3 linked regions of the Callithrix jacchus genome follow. The protein of the gene in region 3 interacts with the protein of the main gene of each other region in a pairwise test. Links are inferred from orthologs where the notes say so. Each region holds a gene or a part of one and is shown on either strand. Other genes may lie near its edges.

What was found.
Region 1: the proteins of C19H1orf35 (region 3) and FXR2 interact in binary tests that used the Homo sapiens proteins (3 or more experiments, as listed by UniProt). The two-hybrid records come from large-scale screens. The link is inferred for Callithrix jacchus from reciprocal best matches to the Homo sapiens genes C1orf35 and FXR2.
Region 2: the proteins of C19H1orf35 (region 3) and SRRM4 interact in binary tests that used the Homo sapiens proteins (3 or more experiments, as listed by UniProt). The link is inferred for Callithrix jacchus from reciprocal best matches to the Homo sapiens genes C1orf35 and SRRM4.

What each region holds. Positions count from the first base shown.
Region 1 is NC_133506.1:74,095,130-74,102,336, forward strand, and holds part of FXR2 (RNA-binding protein FXR2), read right to left. Parts: intron 6,951-7,207; coding exon 6,879-6,950; intron 6,776-6,878; coding exon 6,627-6,775; intron 5,915-6,626; coding exon 5,821-5,914; intron 4,400-5,820; coding exon 4,283-4,399; intron 1-4,282. UniProt on the Homo sapiens protein: mRNA-binding protein that acts as a regulator of mRNAs translation and/or stability, and which is required for adult hippocampal neurogenesis. Specifically binds to AU-rich elements (AREs) in the 3'-UTR of target mRNAs.
Region 2 is NC_133510.1:122,264,498-122,271,704, reverse strand, and holds part of SRRM4 (serine/arginine repetitive matrix protein 4), read right to left. Parts: intron 6,043-7,207; coding exon 5,932-6,042; intron 5,299-5,931; coding exon 5,158-5,298; intron 3,096-5,157; coding exon 2,780-3,095; 3' UTR 1-2,779. UniProt on the Homo sapiens protein: Splicing factor specifically required for neural cell differentiation.
Region 3 is NC_133520.1:38,922,598-38,930,503, forward strand, and holds C19H1orf35 (multiple myeloma tumor-associated protein 2), read right to left. Parts: upstream 5,344-7,906; 5' UTR 5,254-5,343; coding exon 5,160-5,253; intron 5,083-5,159; coding exon 4,932-5,082; intron 4,723-4,931; coding exon 4,677-4,722; intron 4,596-4,676; coding exon 4,513-4,595; intron 4,414-4,512; coding exon 4,341-4,413; intron 4,190-4,340; coding exon 4,104-4,189; intron 3,559-4,103; coding exon 3,430-3,558; intron 3,351-3,429; coding exon 3,239-3,350; 3' UTR 2,838-3,238; downstream 1-2,837. Other genes in the region: ARF1 (ADP-ribosylation factor 1), read left to right, coding at 1-37, 154-278, 423-584.

The DNA of each region.
Region 1 (7,207 bases), on a different chromosome or scaffold from region 3:
GTTCTTAAATCTTTGCAGCTGGGTGTAGTGTGGGTCATGCCTGTAACCCTAGCACTTTGGGAGGCTGAGGTAGGAGGACTGATTGAGACCAAGGGTTCAAGACCATGCTGGCCAACACAGCAAAACCCTATCTCTATTTTTTAAGTTAATATAAAATTAAACAAACAAAAAAAGACTGCACCTATGGCTATGTTTAGTTTATTTGGTACACTTTACCAGACAGATCAATAGAGTAAGTCCTAGGACAGCTAAATATTCTACCTTTTGTCAATCAGAAAACCTACACATTGGAAACTGAAGCAGATAAAAGTTTGTATCAGGCCGGGTGTGGTGGCTCACGCCTGTAATCCCAGTACTTTCAGAGGCTGAGGCAGGTGGATCACCTGCGGTCAGGAGTTCAAAACCAGCCTGGGCAACATGGTGAAACCCCGTCTCTACTGAAAAAGTAAAAATTAGCCAGACTTGGTGGCATGAGCCTATAATCCCAGCTACTTGGGAGGCTGAGGCAAAAGAATTACAGGGAGGTTGCAGTAAGCCAAGATTGTGCCATTGCACTTCAGCCTGGGTGACACAGAGGAAAACTCTGTCTCAAAAAAAAAAAAAAAATAGCCGGGTGTGGTGGCTTGCACCTGTAATCCCACCTACCCAATGGCTGAGGTGGGAAGATCACTTATCATCACTTGAGCCTGGGAGGTGGAGATTGCAGATTGCTCCACTACACTCCAGCCTGGACAACAGAGCGAGACTCCTTCCCAAAACAAAAAATAAAGTTTGCATCATCTGAGGGTAATGGTAAGCTTTTACCCACTAGTACCAGGAATCCTGAGCAGGATCCCTGAAGAAGCCAAAGATTATCATGACCCAGAATTTGCAAAGGTGCAGAGAAAAGCTGCCCAACAAGATCAATTCACTTGATAAATGGAAATGGATATTCAAACACACACACCCTATTCACTTAGAATAGTATAACACCAAGGAAAAAGGGAATCTGATAGTTTTAAGATGTCAGAATTCAAAAAGATATCATAGAAATACTCTAGTCAGGCCAGGCATGGTGGCTCACGCCTATAATCTCAGGACTCTGGGAGGTCAAGGTGGGCAAATCACCTGAGATCCAGAGTTCGAGACCAGCCTGACCACATGTTGAAACCCCGTCTCTACCAAAAATATAAAAATTAGCTGGGTGTAGTGGTGCATGCCTGTAAAGCCAGTTACTCTTGAGGCTGAGGCAGAATAATTGCTTGAACCTGGGAGGTAGAGGTTGCAATAAGTCAAGATAGTACCATTGCACTCCAGCCTGGGTGACAAGAGATGCTATCTCACAAAATAAAAAAGTAAAAATTCTTTTTTTTTTTTGTGAGATTGAGTTTTTCTCTTGTTACCCAGGCTGTAATGAAATGGCGCAATCTCAGCTCACCACAACCTTCACTTCCTGGGTTCAAGCAATTCTCCTGCCTCAACCTCACGAGTAGCTGGAATTATAGGCATCCGCCACTATGCCCCATTAATTAATTTTTATCTTTTTAGTAAAGATGGGGTTTCACCATGCTGGCCAGGCTGGTCTCGAACTCCCAACCTCAGGTGATTCACCCACCTCGGCCTCCCAAAGCACTCAAGTGCTGGGATTATAGGTGTGAGCCACTACCCCTGCCTAAAAAAGAAATATTTAGGCTGGGTGTGGTGGCTCACACCTGTAATTCTAGCAGTGAGCCTAGAAGTTCAAGAGTGAGCCTAGAAGTTCAAGACCAGCCTGGGCAATATGGCGAAATCGCATATCTATTAAAAATACAAAATACTGGCCAGGTGCGGTGGCTCACGCATGTAATCCTAGCACTCTGGGAGGTGGTGGATCACCTGAGGTCAGCAGTGTGAGACCAGCCTGGCCAACATAGTGAAACCCTGTCTCTATTAAAAATACAAAAACTAGACGGGCATGGTTGCAGGTGCCTGTAATCCCAGCTACTTGGGAGGCTAAGGCGGGAGAATTGCTTGAACTCAGGAGGCGGAGGTTGCAGTGAGCCAAGATCATGCCACTACATTCAGCCTGGGCAACACAGCAAGGCTGGGCACGGAGGCTCATGCCAATAATCTCAGCACTTTGGGAGGCCAAGGTGCAGATCACTTGAGGTCGGGACCTTGAGACCAGCCTGGAAAACATGGTGAAACCCTATCTCTACTAAAAATACAAAAATTACCAGGCGTGGTGGCTTAAGCCTGTAATCCCAGCACTTTGGGAGGCCAAGACGGGCAGATCACAAGGTCAGGAGATCAAGACCATCCTGGCTAACAGGGTGAAACTCTGTCTTTAAAATAAAAAATAATGATAATAAAAATTTAAAAAAAAAAAAAAAAAAAATATATATATATATATATATATATATATATATATATATATAAATTAGCTGGGTGTGGTGCTTGACACCTGTAACTCCAGCTACTTGGTAGGCTGAGGCAGGAGAATCACTAGAACCGGGGAGGCAAAGGTTGCAGTGAGCCAAGATTGTGCCACTGCACTCCAGTCTGGGCAACAGAGTGAAACTCCCTCTAAAAATAAAAAAAAAATTGCTGGGCATGGTGGCGCACACATGTAATCCCAACTACTATGGAGGGAGAGGTGGGAGAATCACCTGAACCTAGGAAGTCAAGTCTGCAATGAGCCATGTTACTCCAGCTTGGGTAATGGGAGTGAGACCCTGTCTCAAAGGGGAAAAAAATGAGGCGGGGAGCAGTCGTTCACTCCTATAATGCCAGCACTTTGGGAGGCCAAGGTGGGCAGATCACCTGAGGTCAGGAGTTTGAGACCAGCTTGGCCAATGTGGCAAAACCTTGTCCCCACTAAAAAAACACAAAAATTAGCAGGGTGTGGTGGTACACGCCTGTAACCCCAGCTACTTGGGAGTCTGAGGCAGGAGAATGGCTTGAACCCAGGAGGCAGAGGTTCCAACAGTGAGCCGAGATTGCACCACTGCATTCCAGCCTGGGCAACAAGAGAGAAACTCCATCTTAAAAAAAAAAAAATGAAAAAAAGAAATGTTCTAGTTTATCTATTAAGTTGTGAGAATGAACCAATAGGAAAAAAATTAAATATAAAATTTTTTAAAAAGAAACAATCTAGCCTACTGACCTCACTGTCACAGAGGAAGAAGATAAATCTCAGTGTAATGAAATGTATTTGCCAAAAGACAATTATATGACAAGACTTAGCATTCCAAGTCCAGTGGTTTCCCATTGTCCAAATGGTTCTCTCTCTTTTTTTTTTTTGAGACGGAGTTTCGCTCTTGTTACCCAGGCTGGAGTGCAATGGCGCGATCTCGGCTCACCGCAACCTCCGCCTCCTGGATTCAGGCAATTCTCCTGCCTCAGCCTCCTGAGTAGCTGGGATTACAGGCAAGCGCCACCATGCCCAAGTAATTTTTTGTATTTTTAGTAGAGACGGGGTTTCACCACGCTGACCAGGATGGTGTCGATCTCTTGACCTCATGATCCACCCGCCTCGGCCTCCCAAAGTGCTGGGATTACAGGTGTGAGCCACCGCGCCCGGCTAGTTCTCTCTCTTTTTTAAATGTCTACCTCATATTCAAATGACATTCATATTTCTTTTTTTTTTTTTTTTTTTAAACCAAATGGTTCTCAAATATATCCTGCAGAGCAGTTTGGTTTCCAGAGGTGATTTAGGGGTATTGGTAGAAGTAAGAGTCATGCCCCCTTTCCACTTTTAGACAGAGCTGCTCTGATTCATTTTATGCACTGTGCTTCCAAGTAACATTTCACTTCATCGAAGAGGGTACCATCGGCCAGGTGTGGCGCTCACGCCTGTAATCCTAGCACTTTGGGAGGACAAGATGGGTGAATCACATGAGGCCAGGAGTTTGAGACCAGCATGGGTAACATGGAGAAACCCCATCTCCTCTAAAAACATAAAACTTAGCAGAGTACGGTGGTCCACGCCTGTAATCCCAGCAACTCAGAAGGCTGAGGCATGAGAACAGCTTAAACCCGGAAGGTGGAGGTTGCAGTGAGCCAAGATTGCACTCCAGCCTAGGCAACACAGCAAGACTCTGTCTTAAAAAAATAATTTGGCTAAAAGAAATTTGAAAATAATTTCACTATGACATGACAGAGCTCTGTCATCTGGAGGAGTCTGAGATAAAATAGCTGACCCACGTTTAATTGCCCAGTAAAAAACTCTTTATCCTGTAAACACAAGAGCATGGGTGGAAGACAGGGTAGGAAGAGAGGAAGACAATACCCTTCAGCAGGAGGAAAAGGAGCTAACAATTACCTCTAGGTGCTTGGTAGCTTCTTCATTGCGGGACATTAGTAATAGTTTGGTGCGCAGGCTTCGGAAATGCATATCACCCAGCAGAGATGCCCGCTTCACAGGGGCTTCTGTGGTTGACTAGGAGGAAACCAATGGGAAAGTCACGAAAACTGGCTTGGAATACTGCAGGAGAGGCAGGGACCAGGAATCAGTCCTAAATCCCTGGAAAAGGGTTAAGAAATTAAACTAGGAGGCCAGGCGCAGTGGCGCACGCCTGTAATCCCAGCACTTTGGAGACAAACGCAGGTAGATCACAAGGTCAGGAGTCTGAGACCAGCCTGACCAACATGGTGAAACCCCAACTCTACTAAAAATACAAAAATTAGCAAGGTGTAGTGCCATGGGCCTGTAATCCCAGCTGCTTAGGAGGCTGAGGCAGGAGAATCGCTTAAACCCGGGAGGCAGAGGTTGCAGTGAGCTGAGAGAATATGCCATTGCACTCCAGCCTGGATGACAGGGCAAGACTCTGTCACAAAACAAAACAAAAAGAAATGAAGCTAGGAAGGGGGAGTCCCACAAAGGCTCATTATCGGGGTACCAAAGGAAAGTGGTTTTAGAGAGAAAACAAAGAGCAGGACAGGTGCAGTGGCTCACGCTTATAATCCAAGCACTTTGGGAGGCAGAAGCAGACAGATTACCTGAGGTCAGGAGCTCAAGACCAGCCTGACCAACATGGAGAAACCCCGTCTCTACTAAAAATACAAAATTAGCCAGGCATGGTGGCATATGCCTGTAATCCCAGCTACTTGGGAGGTTGAGACAGGAGAATCTCTTGAACCCGGGAGGCAGAAGTCGCGGTGAGCTGAGATCGCACCACTGCACTCCAGCCTGGGCAACAACAGCGAAACGTCATCTCAAAAAATGTATAAATAAATAAGTAAAATAAAAATAAAAATAGAAAGCAAGGAGCAACTGTAAGGTGAGAGCTATATACTTTTTGAAAGTCCAAATATCAAGAGAGGTTCCCCAACCCAGATGGCAACAGGATTATCATGTTTTTAAAAAAGCTCATACATGAGGAAAACTAAAGAAAGGTAAGGCTACCTGGGCCTCTAGGAATCAGGAAAAATAAAGTCCTCTCTGACAAATAAATGTAAGCACATTTAAGCCCTTCCCTTTCTGCATAGGGGTTAAAAGGGGGAAAAAATGTTCAAAGGGCTTGTGTGAAATTCAGGCAAAATAGGCTGGGCGAGGTGGCTCACACCTGTAATCCCAACACTTTGGCGGGTGGATCATGAGGTCAGGAGTTCAAGAACAGCCTGGCCAAGATGGTGAAAACCCATCTCTACTAAAAATACAAAAATTATCTGGGCACAGTGGCAGGAGCCTGTAATCCCAGCTACTTGGGAGACTGAGGCAGGAGAATCACTTGAACCAGGGCAGCAGAGGTTGCAGTGAACAGAGATGGAGCCACCACACTCCAGCCTGGGTGACAAAGTGAGACTTGGTCTCAAAAAAAAAAGAAAAAAAGAAAAGAAATTCAGGCAGAATAAACTCACCAGAATGAAGAGCTCACTATTTGTGATGTTGAGAAAGATGCAGTTGGCTCCCAGGGCTTTCTTGAACTCTTTATGGACGTTTTCATTGGAGCAGCTGCAGAGAAAAAAAGTACTCAGAGGGCAGAATGCAGAAGAGTGAAGAATTCAGGGGAGGTTGGGCATGGTGGCTTGAGCCTATAATCCTAGCACTTTGGGAGGCTAGGGCAGGATGATCACTTAAGGCCACAAGTTTAAGACTAGCATGGGCAACATAGTGAGACCCTGTCTCTATTTAAAAAAAAAAAATTCAGAGAAGAAAGAGCAGGGCTCAGAAAAGAAGAGGGGCCAGGCGTGGTGGCTCTAGTCTGTAATCCCAGCACTTTGGGAGGCTGAGGCGGGTGGATCACGAGGTCAAGAGATCGAGACCATCCTGGTCAACATGATGAAACCCCATCTCTACTAAAAATACAAAAAATTAGCTGGGCATGGTGGTGCGTGCCTGTAATCCCAGCTACTCAGGAGGCTGAGGCAGGAGAATTGCCTGAACTCAGGAGGCGGAGGTTGCGGTGAGCCGAGATCGCGCCATTGCACTCCAGCCTGGGTAACAAGAGCGAAACTCCGTCTCAAAAAAAAAAAAAAAGAGGGACCACAGTTAAAGAACAAGGATGGAAAAATAAAGGAACTGAGTGTCTTCTTAGCAAGAAGGGTTCTAGAGGGCCAGGGGAACAACAGAGAAAACTGCAAAGTGGGAGTGAGGTCTGGGAGAAATCAAGCCAGAGATTAGGACTGTCAAGAGGGCCCTCGTTCCCACCATCCTTAACACTCACGCCTCTCTCAGATCCTCGGGCACAGCCATGGTAACCTTGAAGAAGCTGCCTTTGGTTGCAAGGGGATTGGGATTAACTGGCCGAAGTCGCTCCAAGGTAACAATTTCATTGTAGGTGGCATCACAGGCAGCATATTCAATGACATAGAACTGGTATACGGTAAAAAAGGAGAAGTTGTGGATGACCTGAGCAACTTTCTATTAATAAAATATTTGTTTCAGTAGTGTTCCAAAGGCATTCCCATTCACTCACATCTCCCTTCATCATCCGCACCCGGGCCAGCCACCAGCCACAAGGTTCCTGTTCATTGGCTCGGGAATAAACCTAAAGAAAAGTAGAGAATCAAAGAGATATTGAAGACCATCCAAAAGCATCAAGAAGAAAGATAAGAAGGCTGGGCGCGGTGGCTCACGCCTGTAATCTCAGCACTTTGGGAGGCCGAAGCCAAAGGACTGCTTATGCCGAGGAGTTCAAAACCAGCCTGGGCAACATAAAGAATAGAATAAGCATTAAGATATTTCGGGCTGCTGGGCACAGTGGCTCACACTTATAATCTCAGCACTTTGGGAGGCCGAGGTGGG
Region 2 (7,207 bases), on a different chromosome or scaffold from region 3:
TCAACCACACGTGCAATTCCAGTACTAAAGCAGACATCATTTTCATCCACCATGGCCCTCAAAATACAAGGCAACTACTTCAGTAAGTACTCAACTGAAGCCTTGTGGATCTGCTAAGATATAGCACATCTGTCTCCAGTCTGGGGCCTCCCTAAGGGACGTTCACAAGGGATTTCGACTTTGGGCAGCCTTGGCCCCATGTGCCAACTTTCAACTCTGACCTCCGCCCACGTTGCAACTCCACTATGTCAATTCATTGCCATAGCTCATAAGCCTCTGGGTTGTTTCCATCTTTTTGATTCCCCAGGGAGGTATCTGGGGGACAGGAGGCTGGGGCACAGGCCTGACTCTCCTGGACTCTGGGTTAAGTGATGAACCTTGGGACAGATGTGCCTCCTTCTGGGCCAACTCCAGGGTGTTCCAGGCTTAGAGCCTTCAGGGAGAAAGCCAATAGCCCAGCCACCTTTGGCTTCTCAAACCCCATCCGTAAAAACAGGAGGAAAAAAGAGAGATGCACAAAAATAATTTAGGAGGAGACCCCCCCCAACACACACACACACACACACACACACACACACACACACAAACATACCCGCTCTGTATAAATAAATAATTAATTAAATACTGCTAATGGTGAGAGAGAGCCAGTCATCACATAAATAAATAAATAAACAAACAGACAAATAAATAAAATAAATAAAAAGGTTTGCTAGGAGCCCTAGGCAAAATGGTCCCCTAGAGTTGTCTCGATGAAGGCAGTCCAAAGGCGAGGCTCCGTTGCCTCTCACAGCTGTCCTGCTAAGGTTTTTGGTGGCTCCGGGAAGCCTTTGTCTCCATGGAGGGAGACTGAAGTCCAGTCTGGGTTCCTGGGTAGGGACGAGGGTTATTTACAGTGGCTGTACATGCCCTCCCCAGGGCACCTGCCCCTGTCCCAGTCACCTGCCATCTGGCCTTCTGCGGTGACAGCATTGGCAACCATTAGTCTTTGTGGGTGGGGCTTAGGTCTGGGCCAGAGGCCTGGCGAGGGAAGGCCGGTCATCCACTGCTGCCTGGGGGCCTTGATCCTCTCTCCTGATGGAGGAAGGACTGTCGTGGTGGTGGCTGCATGGCTGTCTCTAACCTCGTGGGTTGATAGGATGGGAAAGATTGGGTAGGGGAGAGGTCACTGCTTCCAAGAGAAAGGACTGTTTTCCAAATCTTTTCCCTGGGGTGGGAGGGATAAAGAATGTTTGGTCCCTGCTTCCCCGTAACCCAAAATATCCAAAAGCTGGATCTGTCCTCTCTCCCTGGCTCCCTCCATGCCCTGTCCCATTGCTGTTGCCACCACAAACTTGAAACTCACCCACAAGCCTCCGGAAAGCCAGTCAGCTGGTGAGGGGGATGCCCAAGAGTTTATTTTAAGGATCTTATTCCTCACCTCCCTGTTCTTAGAGCCTTCTGTGGATGAAGCAGCTGGTGGTATTTGTGTATCAGAGATCAGCTTACCCTCTCTGCCCAGCCCCGGGCAGGGGGAACTTGGGGTGAGGGCAGAAATAAAGGTGAGTCTTTCCCAAGCTGGCAAAAAACCTCAGAAGCCAGCAGGAGCCCAAGACAGGGCACATCCAAGCCCCTCTCCCCTGGACTCTGGATTTGGGTCTTTTCCCCCAAACCTGAGCTGCTGTGTCCCATCCTGGCAAAATTCCTGAGAGGCAAGGGGAGTGGCATAACCTGAAAGGTGGGTGGGTAAGTGCCAGGCTGCACTGGGTGGCATCCAGGGCAAGGCAGCCAGGGCAGAGGGGAGAGGGCTGGCAGGCACCCACTGGAGGGTATGGCCAGACTGGCTGGCGCTGGGGCCTGGCAACCAGCCATGGCATTGGGGAATATTCAGCAGATGGTCCCGTGGAATTAAATTGGTGCCAGCTAGTGGGGCTGAGGCGTATTTGGGAAGTGGGGCTGGAGACCAACCTGTCCTGACTCTCCCACTATCTCCTTTCTTATGAGGTTGCAGGGCCCCTGTAAATGGCCAAGAGGTGTTTTGTGTCAGCCATACGGTGGCCTCTCCATGGCTGGGATCTGCTGGGCCCTGCGCCCTGACCGTGCTGAGATATTGGGAGCAGCAGACTGACCCCTTCCATTTTTGCTATCTATCGTCATAACCAGAGAACCCATCTCCTATCTCCTGACACCTCCCACCAAGTCAAATGTCCATGTCTGGTATTCAAGGATATCTCTTCTTCTAGGACCCAGGTGTCTTCCAGCCTTTGCTCTGGCCTGTTTGAGGAAGTTACAGGCTTGACCCCCTTAACTTGAACCTGAACTGCCACTGATCACCTCTTCCACAACTCTCCGACATGGGGGTCCATCCACGTGCAGCCATGAGGTTGGAGGAGGGGAGCATCGAGGGAGGTGGGGAGAATTCCCATGGGCCTCCTGTGAGCAGTGGGTGAGGAGAACGGTCTCCACATTTTCCTGGCCAGGGCTCAATTTCTGAGTCACGGACCCATTGTTTCTTACAAAACCTTGAGGTTTTCTTTCCTTTTCTTTTTGTGCCACAAGAGGATGGTTCTCTCCGTAGGCCCAGGCCTGAGCTGGGCCCCAGGATGGTGCTGGTAGAGGCTCCTAGCAGCTTGACCTGGAGGGTGAAGCCCCCGTACCCTCTTCTCCTCTTCCCCCAGGCAAGCAGGAAGGACAAGTATAGGAGCCCTCACTATCTGTTACCAAGGAGAAGGTGGGGAGGGCAGGTGGTTGGGGGAGGCTGGCAGCGCGAAGGGGCCCCCACGGGCAGCTGGCTCAGGGGCATTTAGCGCCTCGTGCTGGAGTAGCTGCCTGCTGAGCTGTAGCTCCGGCTCCTGCTCCGGCTCCGGCTCCGACTCCTGCTCCGGCTCCGGCTGCGGGAGCCCAAGCTGGGGCTGCGGGAGCTAGAGCTGCTGCTTGTGCGGGTCCGGCTCCGGCTCCGACTCCGGCTCCGGCTCCGGCTCCGGCTCCGGCTCCGGCTCCGGGAGTAGCTGCGGCTGGCCGAGCGGCTACTGCTGCTGCTGTACCAGGAGGAGGTGCTGCTGAGGCTGCCGGATGAAGAGGGGCTGGGCCGATAGTAGGGGATGGGGCGTTTCCGGGCACTGCAGAGAGCAGAGAGAGGAGGGATGAGGGCCGGTCCCTCCCAGCCTTCCCGCACAGAGCCCCAGTCTTGTCCTAAGGGAAACCAGTATCCTCCCTTTTCCCAGTCCCTTCCGAAAAAATCCTCCTTTTCCAGTTCTCTTGCGGTCCTAAGAACACATCAAAGTAAAAAGTCTCAGCTTAGTGCTAGTCTTGAAAAACGATTATCTCACTCTTTTCTTCCCCCATGAAGCAAGCCTGGGGCTCAAAGCCTCCAGCTTGCAACAGAATCTACATCTAAACTTTAATCATAGTTTTGTTTTGCTATTTTTACTTTTACTAGAACCATCTATTTATGGCAAAAGAGGCTAATTTTCCACTTACTGTAGCATATCGTTTCCTTTAGAAATAAATGTATGAACCTTTTAAAAGGGTCATATCTATTTAAAGAAAATTAAGAATAGTACAGTTGATAAGCAGACAAGGCATACGTGGTAAAGATGCTGCTGAATGACTGAAAATTGGGAAACACTGAATGGGTTAATCAAGACGAATTATTTGAGATTGACTAAAGAAACTAGACAGCCTTTTGGAAATGCCACTCTGTCTTAGCTCTCCTCCAGGCTGATCCCATAGATAATAATAATACCAACAACTTCCATTTTGTGCTTACTATCCTGGCCACTTACGTGTGACGTTGGATCAAGGAAGTGGGTTTAGGAATTATATATATTATATTAATTATATTCTTTGCAGACAGTGTCTTGCTCTGTCACCCAGGTTGGAATGCAGTAGCGCAATCTCAGCTCACTGCAACCTTCACCCTTGGGGCCAAATGATCCTTCCACCTCAGACTCTGGTGTAGATGGGACCACAGGTGCACACTACCATGCCTGGCTAGTGTTTTATGTTTTTGGTAGATAAGGAGTCTTGCCATGTTGCCCAGGCAGGTCTAAAACTCCTGATCTCAAGCAATCTGCCCACCTCTGCCTCCCAAGGGTTACAAGCTGAGGCAGGGTGGTCTGCAAGATATTTGAGAAGGGGACTCCATCACTCTAGTCTTGCTATCTGGGGCACACATTCTTTTTCCTCCTCCAAGTCATCTCCAGGGAGGATCCCTGATTCCTCAGTCCAATCTCTGGCCTGAGTGGCAGATCCTTGGAAGACCAGAAACAAGAGCCCAACCCAATCTTAGGGCAGTATTCAGCTATTTTCCCAGCTTTCAAGGCCTAAGAAATTTGCTTGCGCTCAGATTTCTCTGCGAGAGCTCTTCTCTTCTGAGGCCTTACTTGTTCCAGGAAACATATCCACCTATTCTGACCACTCAATCAACAACAATGGCACATTGTGTGCTCTGCATTTAAGTTTACAAAGCATGCTCACATCTTTTTGCCCCTTTTCATTTCATCGTTATGATACTTCTGGGAGTTATTTCCTCCACTATCTCATGGGTGAGAAAAAGACTCAGGAAGGTAAGAACCTTTCCCAGGTCACCTGCAAAGAGGCACATCCAGGATTCCACTCCACATCCAGTGCTCTCTGGCTCATCCACCGTGGCTCCCTCAAGGTACTTTTGGCATCCCAGCAATCCTGTTACCCCTCCCCTCACTTGATTCAAGGTATAATTACATACAGGTTTATTTAAGCCTGACAGCTGAGTGTACAGGTCTGAGGCTCTGTCTCCACTGCCCGGGATCCACTAGGAGGCCAAGGTCCTACCCCACTGACTGGCCTCCATTCCCTGGCCTGACGCCACTCTCTCCCAGCTCGGCCTCCCCGGCCCCAGCTCCACCCCCAGGCCTCGACCACACCCCCAGACCACACTGGATCTTCAGGGTGGCCCCGCCTGTGGCCCACCCCCCACCCCGTCCTCTTCTGGTAGGCCCTGCTGGTTGAGATGGGAGACTCAGTCCCGAGGCTTCGAACAGACATATAATTTCAATTATGTTGGGATTGGGGGACCTTAAGCTTCCACCATCCTGAATCCCAGACCCAAGCAGGCCTAGGGAGAGCCTGAGGCTCAAATGAGTAAGAATGGGGGTGGAACGAGGGTGAAGGTGGGACCCCCCCGCCCCCTGGCCTTACCTGGTTATCCTCCGGGCCTCCAGGTGGCTCGGGGAGTCTCTCCGGCGCTTCCTCATGGGCGAGTAGGACCGACGTCTCCGACGCGCTCGCTCGCGCTCCCGCTGCTGCGAGTCCTTCTCGCTGTATTTGGGATCCCGCTCCCTGAAGGGGCGCTGGGGGTTACTGGGGAGCTAGGGCTGGGCTGGATTTTCTGCGTGAGCTCGTGGGAGAGGGACACTCACTTTCTTTCTTTCCCACCCCACTGGGTCAGGGGATGGGATCTGCATGGAGCCGCACGCGAGACGGGAAGGAGGGTGACGGAAAGGAGGATGACGGGACTGCGGGAAAAGTCTGCGAGGGTTAGTACCGTAGGGGTGGGGGCTGGGCGCGTGCAGGGGTGTCAGCCTTTGCAGGTGGGCATCACAGCGGTGCAGGTGTCGCAGGGGTTTGAGGACGTGAATGTTACGTGGGCCTTGGTGCTTGGGTAAGGACTGGGGGCTCTGAATAGAGTGATGGTGGGTAGAGGCTGAGGGCTGGGCATGTGAATTGGGGTGTGTGTGTCTGTAGGAGTGTTTGGGCTGGAGACATTAGGAAACAAGGATATATTTGGCGCCTGGCTGCCACTCCTGACTGGGCAAAGGCACCTGCAAGAATGCTGAGTCAGGGTCAGACCTAAGAGGTAGAAGGCCCGAGGACGAGGAGGCGGGGCCAGAGAGGAGAATCAGCGCAAAGGGGTGGAGCCTAGGGCGGGCCTAGCTTGAGGGGCGGGACCAGCGCCAGGGGCGGGGCCGGTACCTGCTGGGACTGTAGCGGGAGTAGCTGGGACTGCGGCGGGACCGAGAGCTTCTGCTGGGTGGGCTCCTCTTGCCAGACTTGGAGGAATAGCTGGGAGAGCGGGAGTAGGACCTGGGGGAGAGGTAACAGCCTCTGAGGAGCCTGCTAAGTGTCCGCCTGGGTCATTCAAGAAGGCTTGTGCTTTATTCAGTGGGTCCTGGGCGGTGATCTTTTTCTTTCTGGAAACCAGGCAGAGGAACTGGGCCCAGATCAAAGAGTGAAAGCCCCTCCCCACGAGTGGTTAAGAATAATACCAACAACTTCTATTTTGTGCTTACTACCCTGGCCGCTTACTAGCTGTGTGACGTTGGCAGATGATTTCGCTTCTCTGGGCAAGTTTTCGTGTCCGTAAAATGCAGGTAATAATAGTTCTTTCCCTATACAATTGTAAATTGAATGAGTATATTCAGGTAAATCACTTAGCATATTGGCACCTATGCTAAGTACCAATTAAACAGGACGCTATGACTGTGACATATTGTATTATCTGCCAGACTGAACCAACGATTTGTGTTCATTATTTCAGTTAATCCTCAACACATCTTAGGGTTAGGTACTATTAGCAATTTCGCTTCATAGATGGAGAAACAGAAGCACAGAGAGGTGATGCACTTTGCCCAACAGAGCTGGTAGAAGATGTGAACCCACATCTGTTTGCCTCTAAATCAAATTGAATTCAAATCTGTTTGGTTGCAAAGTGCTCTTGATTTCTGTAGACTAGATGATTATACATCTAAATGACTAATCCTTATGCTCCTCCCAGTTTTCTTTGCTCTCTGCGAATGCCTCCCACTTTTAGAGAAAAGGGGCAGGAATAGCTCTCCATTATCAGTGTCCTGGGCAGTGTCCGGGTGTGGTCTCTGGAAAAATGGGCTTTTGCCAGCTTATGCTTTGGCTCTTCATTGTGAGATATAAGAAGGAGTCAAGATGAAACGTGTTTTTGGACACTTTGAAAGGATAATGTCAGGTATTTCTATTCACTGCACCATGGAGTTCCTTTTCTGTAGAGCCATATGAGTCATTTTTCATACACTTAAAAACCTGAAATAGCTGTTCTTGTGAGCAACTGGTTCAAGTCTTATCTTTTTGTTGCCGTTGTTAATAATATAACAAATAATGAAGTAATTTTCCTCTTTGCTTTGTCTCTCAGGGAGCTCAGATGTCATATTTGCAGCTTACCTCCGTAGCAACTATACAGAATGGTAGGACATGTTTTTGGGACTTTCTCCTGACTTTG
Region 3 (7,906 bases):
CGGCCTCTGTGGCGCCACTACTTCCAGAACACACAAGGTGAGTGGCTGGGGCCTGGTCCCATGGGTCCTCCTGCTTCTAGAGAGGGTGGCCAGCCCATAGATGTGGCAGGGGGGCTGTGTTCCCTTGACCGTTTAACACTGGCTGCTCTGCAGGCCTGATCTTCGTGGTGGACAGCAATGATAGAGAGCGCGTGAACGAGGCCCGTGAGGAGCTCATGAGGATGCTGGCTGAGGATGAGCTCCGGGATGCTGTCCTCCTGGTGTTCGCCAACAAGCAGGTAGGTGCCCGGGTCAGCCTGGGGAATGTGAGGAGCCAGCGTGATTTCCTCCAGGGCATCTGGTGGTAGGGGTTGTTGGAAGCTGGTGGGGTCCCTTTCTCTGTCCCAGGGACATCCCTTCCCACCAACCCTTCCTTCCCCCAGGACCTCCCCAACGCCATGAATGCGGCCGAGATCACAGACAAGCTGGGGCTGCACTCCCTACGCCACAGGAACTGGTACATTCAAGCCACCTGCGCCACCAGCGGTGACGGGCTGTATGAAGGACTGGACTGGCTGTCCAATCAGCTCCGGAACCAGAAGTGAACGCAATCCCCTCCCTCTCACTCCTCTCACCCTCTGCTTTACTCTCATGTGGCAAACGTGCGGCTTGTGGTGTGAGTGCCAGAAGCTGCCTCCGTGGTTTGGTCACCGTGTGCATCGCACCGTGCTGTAAATGTGGCAGACGCAGCCTGCGGCCAGGCTTTTTATTTAATGTAAATAGTTTTTGTTCCCAATGAGGCAGTTTCTGGTACTCCTATGCAATATTACTCAGCTTTTTTTTATTGTAAAAAGAAAAATCAACTCACTGTTCAGTGCTGAGAGGGGATGTAGGCCTGTGGGCACCTGGCCTCCAGGAGTCGATGTGTTGGGAAAGCCGGGCACGCTCTTGGCTTTAGAGCTGTGTTAAAATCCATTTTGGTGGTTGGTTTTTAACCCAAACTCAGTGCATTTTTTTAAATAGTTAAAAATCCAAGTCGAGAACACTTGAACACACAGAAGGGAGACCCTGCCTAGCATAGATTTGCAGTTATGGCCTGGATGCCGGTCGCCAGCCCGGCTGTTCCCCTTGGGAATGTGAGGCGGTGGCGCGGCAGACCGCGATCAATTCTGCATGGTCACAATAGAGATCCCGCAACTCGCTTGTCCTTGGGTCACCCTGCATTCCATAGCCATGTGCTTGTTCTTGTGCCCCCATGGTTCCCAGGGGCCAGGCTGGGAGCCCACAACCGCCCCCACTCTCCTGCAGGCCGCCCCGCCCACCTTCAGGCAGCCTGTGGGAAACAGGGCCTCACCTGTCCCTCGGTCAGCATGTGGCCAGAGTGAGTCCGTCATTCCCACTGCTCGTGCTCGCTCAGACACTTTGGCAGGATGTCTGGGGTCTCACCAGCAGGAGCGCGTGCAAGCCGGGCAGGCGGTCCACCTAGACCCACAGCCCCTCGGGAGCACCCCACCTCCGTGTGTGACGTAGCTTTCTTTCCCTCAGCCTGCAAGGGTCCGATTTGCCATCGAAAAAGAACCTCTACTTTTTTCTTTTGTATTTTGATAAACACTGAAGAAGCTGGAGCTGTTAAATTTATCTTGGGGAAACCTCAGAACTGGTCTGTTTGGTGTCGTGGAGCCTCTTACTGCTTTCAGTACACGATTGGTAATCAACCGTTTTGTATACTTGTTTTCAGTTTTCATTTCGACAAACAAGCACTGTAATTATAGCTATTAGAATAAAATCTCTTAACTATTTCACCGGCTCTCCAGTGTTTCTGCACAGGCAGACTGCCCCCAGGAGACGGTGGGTGGAGCGGCCAGCTTTAGGAGTGCAGGTGACTGCGTAGGGCCACCACCTGAGTCCACATTCCCTCTCCTGAGTGTGCAGGAACTTCCCTGTGTCTGTGTGAGAGGCTCTTCCACCACGATTGCCCACAGTAACCTTGCTGCTCTCTGCTTGCAGTCCTGTTGGGCCCAGCCAGTGAGACCTGGGCCATACAGGACAGGAGTCAGCAGGCACTATATAAGACCTCAGCCTCCCTCCCTCCCATCAGCCTGCTGGCTGTGGGGCTGGGCCACTGCCAGCATACATGGTGCTTTGTGCCAGCCGGGGAATGGTCCCTGCCTGAGTGGGCACAGCCCCCACCTCTCCTCAAAATGTCATGAAGCAGAGGGCTGCCAGTCTGGGGGTACTTCTATGGGGTGTAGCCATCAGCAGGTCCAAGGTCTGTGTTCTGTTGGGCAGAGTCCCAAAAGGTGAGGATGTCCTGGCCAGGTGGCCCGACCTTCATCCCCCTTGACAGTGCCCAAGACAGATAGTGCCATCTCCACTCCAGTGGCTATGTGAGGGCAAGGGCAGAGGTCAAAGCCACAGGAGCCACACCTTGGCCAGGGCCCTAAGGAAGTTTTCTGAGACTGCAGTGAGCCGTGATCCAGTCCAGGTGCCCACACATGTCCTGAACAGCCCTGACTCTTCTCAGGGTCAGGCAAACGGGACACCTAGCCCACTGCCCTAGAAGAAGCAGAGCTGAGGGTTGAGGCAGCTGGGTCTTGGCAGGCAGGTAGAGTCCCCAAACCTCACTCAACTGAGGTTACCCCTCCAGACTCTGCAGTCCTTGACCTCACCTGTCCCAGGTCCCCACATTGCCAGCTGAGCACCCCTTTCCAGGGCCTCAGCCCTCCCTGGGTATGGGTAGGGTTTTGGGCACCCATGGGAGGACTGCATTCTTGGACGTTAACGAAGCATTAGGGCGCAGCTCCATCCTGGGATCTCGTTAACTCCTGATACTGACCTTCCAATTAGGATGATACACCTTTCTTTTAAAATATATTTATTGAAATATAGAGTCAACGTAAGGAAAAATAGAGATCACCGTATTTGGCCACAGGTAGATTGCTCATAGGCCCATGGCTGCTACAGCCATGAGCAGGACACGGGGAGTCCAGCCTCTACGGGTACCTGTGGGCAGGCTCACCTTCGCAGGGCAAGCCAGGGGCCATCCCTGCTGTGCGAAACCTGGAGGTCTTCCAGGAAGCTGGCTGCTCCAGAGCTAGCTGTGCAGCCTTTACCCCACAGGCTGGTGCCCAGAGCCACTCCACAGGAGCAGCCTCAGGTCTCACCCACACAAGGGGCTTTCCTGAGGCAGGAGGCAAGCAAGGTGAAGGGAGAGTTCCAGTTCCCACAGTAGCAGTGAGCAGGGTCCAACCATCAGACTTCAGAGTCTGTCATGCCGCCTGCAAGATGGGCTCCTGTCCCCACTGTGTCCCCGCTTCCTCCTCTTGCAGCAGGGGAAGTCGGAGTCACAGTCATGGTGGCAGTGCCTGGGCCTGGGAAGACCAAGGGCAGTCACTCATAGAGGTGGGGGTCAACCAAACCCCTACCCCCAAGACATGGGCCAGGGCATACTTCTCGGGAGATGTGGGAGAGGTGGCGGCCTCAGCTGGTCGCCTGTCTCTGTCTTTCTTTTTCTCTTTTTTGTGTTTCTTCTTTTTCTTTTTCTTCTTCTCCTTCTTGCTTTTCCTGTGGCTTTCAGAGCTGGGAGGGTACAAAATGCGCCTCAGAGAGTGAGCACAGGCAGGTCCCATCCAGGAGATGAAGCCACCACCCACAAATGCATCTTTAAATCAGTTAAATGAGATTACAGATTTCGCTCCTCAGTCACGCAGTCACATGGCCACTGAGACAGATGCAATATCCCTATCTCGACTGCATGGCCCTGTTCCACTTGAGCTGTGCCCTTGCAAGGTGACACCTTCCTCGTACCTGCACCCACAGGCCACTCCTGGGGTTACAGCCCAGGCTCATTACCCAGGAAAATCCCTCGAGGTGCCACCCACGCAGAAAAAGGCTCCTGCCCAGGTCATGAGTGCCCTCCTACAGCACAGCCCCCAACCACTGCCATTACTTAGGACCTCCCTTCAAGGGTGACCCGAGAAACTCCGCTGGGGAAAAACCTAGGAGTAAGAGACAGGAAGGAAAGTAGGGCAGGCCACCGCCAAGGCCGGTGCGCAAAGAGAAGCTGCCACCTGCCTGCCTAGGAGCCGCTCCAGTCCTCCCGAGATCCCCCGGGGCGGCCTCACCTGCTTTCAGTCTGAACCTCCGCCCGTGGCTTCCTCCTGGCCGAGGCTGCTGAAGTCCCGGGCCCGCCGCTCTCCACGCGGTGGTGCTGCAGATGAAGCGCGCTCTGGGGAGAAGTGTGCGGGCCGGCCCCACACCACGCCCCGCAGCGCCCCAGGGAGCTCCGTGCCATGCCGTGCCCTGCCCGTCCCACCCCTGTGGGCCCCGATGCGATCAGGCGAGGGGTGGGGGGTGGTTACCGTGAACACAGACAGCCCCAGTTTGGCGGCCTCCTTGTCCTCTCGCGACAGCGCCACGCGGCCTGCGGAGCCACTGCAGTAACACAGCGATCAGGACAGTCCGGCAGGGGCCCGCCTCACCCGAGTAACCGAGCCCACACAGACCCTCCCTCCCCACGAAACCGGCCCACACCTGGTGCTCCCCAGCCCCAGCAGCCGGTCCACGCCCTTCTCCTCGGGGTCGCCTCCTTCCCGCTTGCAGACCTCCGCAAAGTCCTGCAGGTGGGGGAGCAAAGGGAGCTCTCGGGACGGCCCCACACCCACGGCCCTCCACGCGCCCCCACCCCGGGGAGTTACCTCCTTGCTCAGGCCCGTGGGCTGCTTCTTCACGTTCTTGTAGCCACTGAGAGGAAATCGAGGCAGGCGTCAGGGGAGTGAATCTCTTCCCAGCACGCGTCCTCACCACTCCAGCCTTCGTCCTGAGGGCCCCGCCCGAGCGAGTCCCCGCAACTCCGCCCCCGCCCAGCCGGGCCCCCAGCCTTCACCCCCGGCCCCAACCAGCCTCCGCCGCGCGGTCCCAAGCCCCGCCCGCTGCTGCCCGCCGACACTCACAGCGCGGCCAGCAGCGCCTCGCGCTCCGCCTCCCGCACGGCTGCCAGCTCCTCCTCGCGGCTCGGGCCCGCGCACGGCGCCCGGCCCTTGGCGTACCAGGTGAGGTCGCGGCCCTTCTGCCAGCGGCCTACGGGCGCCATCAGCGAGTTGCCTGCGGACGTAGGCGCCGTGAGTCCAGCGCCCGCCAGGGAGCCCGGAGCCCGGAGCCCGCCCGCCGCGCCCACCCACCCAGGTAGTTCTCCCGCTGCTTGTCAGTCTTCACGTCCTCCCAGTTGAACTGATCCTGACCGCCGCGCACGCCTCCGCGACTGGAGCCGAACATGGTGCTGGGGCGACCGTGGCCTGCGGCCGGCGACCTGAGACCCCGGACCCGCTACCCTCTACCGTCGGACCCTGGGCCGACCCCGCCTCCGCGTTGCGCGCCGTAACGTCACTCTTGAGCCCGCTCAGCTTCGTCCCGTGCGCCTGCGCAGCGCACTGTCCCGGCTCAGCGCTCTGGGCCCCGGCGGAATGCACCGCCCTCGCGCGCCTGCGCACTGCTGCACCGGCCCTGCCCGGCGGGGGAACGACTTTGAACTGGACGTTTAAAAAGGATTGAAATGGGCCGGGCGCGGTGGCTCAAGCCTGTAATCCCAGCACTTTGAGAGGCCGAGGGGGGCGGATCGCTTGAGGTCGGGAGTTCCAGACCAGTTTGGCTAACATCGTTAAATCCCGTCTCTACTAAAAACACAAAAATTATCTGGGCGTGGTGGTCCACACCTGTAATCCCAGCTACTCAGGAGGCTGAGGCAGGAGAATTGCTTGAACCCGGGAGGTGGAGGTTGCAGTGAGCCGAGATCGCGCCAGTGCACTCCAGCCTGGGCGACAGAGGGAGACTCTGTCTCCAATAATTGGAAAAAAAAAAAGGTTAAAATGGGCAGGACAGGAGCGCGCTTAGTCCCAACGGGACTACGGGAGGATCACTTGAGCCCATGAGATCCCTGTCTCGTTTAAAAAAAAAAAAAAAAAAAAAAGAAAGAAAGAAAACTCCTAAGACAGGCCTAGCTAACACCATCAACTGGTTGGTCACCGCCGGCCGCGATTCCGTATGGGGCGCCTAACAAGGGAATGCCCTTAATGATTTGTGCAGTTTCTGAGAATTACCCAGTGAACTTGTGGATGAAAAAGCAGCTGCCCAGGCGCCCTCAGAGCTGGTCCTGTCCCCGCTGCGGTAACTGAATGTGCACATGTGAAATCCTCACCCCAAGGCGCTGGTGTTTCAGAGGTGACTAGGTCAAGAGGGCAGAGCCTTCTTAAAGGGACTCCAAGGGCTTGTGCAGCTTTCCACTGCGTGAAGGCGGCGGGAAGGTGTGGATGGGAGACCCCGCAAGGGCCAAGGCAAGGAAGGCTCTGAAGCCTCAGCCTGTTCCCATATAAATATTGAACTAGAAAAGAATTAGCGATATAGTCACAGTTATTCCTATAATCATAATCACATATGCATATGTAATCATATATATATATACTCAATATAACCTTTTAATTTTGCTGATGATTCTCGGGCCATGAAGCATGGAACTGAAGTAACATTGTGAAAGAGGTGACCCTAGAGCAAGGTGCTCTAAGCCCTCTGTCACACCTGCTTAAGGGCTGCTGGAAGGCACCTCGGCTGTGCGGCAGCGCCAGCATTAGCGCTGGGAAAGCGCCCGCTGTTTAGCCAGCTAGGGAAGGAGACGTCTGACATGTCTCCTCCCTTGGAGGACTTAGGAGAAAACTCTGCTCCCCGCAAGCTCTTGCGGTAGGCCTGGTGGCTGTCAGGGAGGCCTGCAGACATTCAGGGGCTTAACCGTCTCTATGCTGTGCTGTGCCTCAGCGGTGACGTTCCATGGCTACCTTCATGTTCCGCTTCTGCACCTGGTTCCTCTTCTTGGATTAGAATGAGTAAAAGTAACATAAATTTTAATGTCTTTGTTCTTTCTCGACAAGTATGAAGAAGTGCTGATGCATTAGGTTTTCTCCTCGCCTCCTCCACTTTAAGGACCTGGGCCCCGATCTCCAAGACACGTGATTTACCTGACCCTATCACTGACCGCCACTGCCTCACCCTACCTACCCGGCCCTCTGCTTTGTACTCAATAAAAGTCAGAGTGTCCAGCCACTCGGGGCCACTGCTGGTCTCCATGTATACTGGTTAGCAGTAGACCCCTGGGCCCAGACTTTTTTCTATCTCAGCATCTTGTGTCTTTTATTTCCAGTTTCTCATCTCTGCGCCAGTAGAGAGGGGCTCAAAGGACCCTATAGGGCTGGACCCTGTAGGAAGAAAGTGTGCAGTCTGGAAGAGACCCCTCACTAGAACCTCAGCATGCTGGGCACCCTGGTTTTGGACATTGTGGCGTCCCCCTGCTTCCCCCTTCACTTCATTCCCAGCGCTGACCGAGAAAGAGTCCCTTGGCTGCTCTGTGACCTGGGCAGCGATGTTTTCCTCTGCAGACTGAACCCGCGCAGCAGCCTTGAATGTTGCCAGGCACAGATGAAAGCATCTAGGTTGTTTCTCAAAACAGAAACTGGACCCAGCCTGAGCCTGCTTTCTTAAACCCTCATAAAAACTTCATTCTCCAACTCCCTCCCCGCGGATATACCTAGAGAACATTCATTTCACTGCCCGTGGAAGAACTGCTGCAGTCCGCTCTGTACGGAAGCTCTCGATAAATGCTCTGAGCACATCACCCTGGTGTGCTCAGTGTTTCTGTTGAATCCTAACCGGCCCCACCTCAGGATGGTGTGGGGCACTCCCTTGTGGGAACCCTCCTGCCACGACTTTTGGGGCAATTCCAGCCACAGGTTGAACTGGGTGAAAACACAGGTCTAGTGTCCAGAACTGTGCGAAATCTGTTTCTCAATGACCCAGCCCATGGGTCAGGCTGTTAGCACACCTGGCAGACGGCCCACATCTGGCTCATCCATCTACTCAGCAAGTACCAGCTGCCGTACGCCCC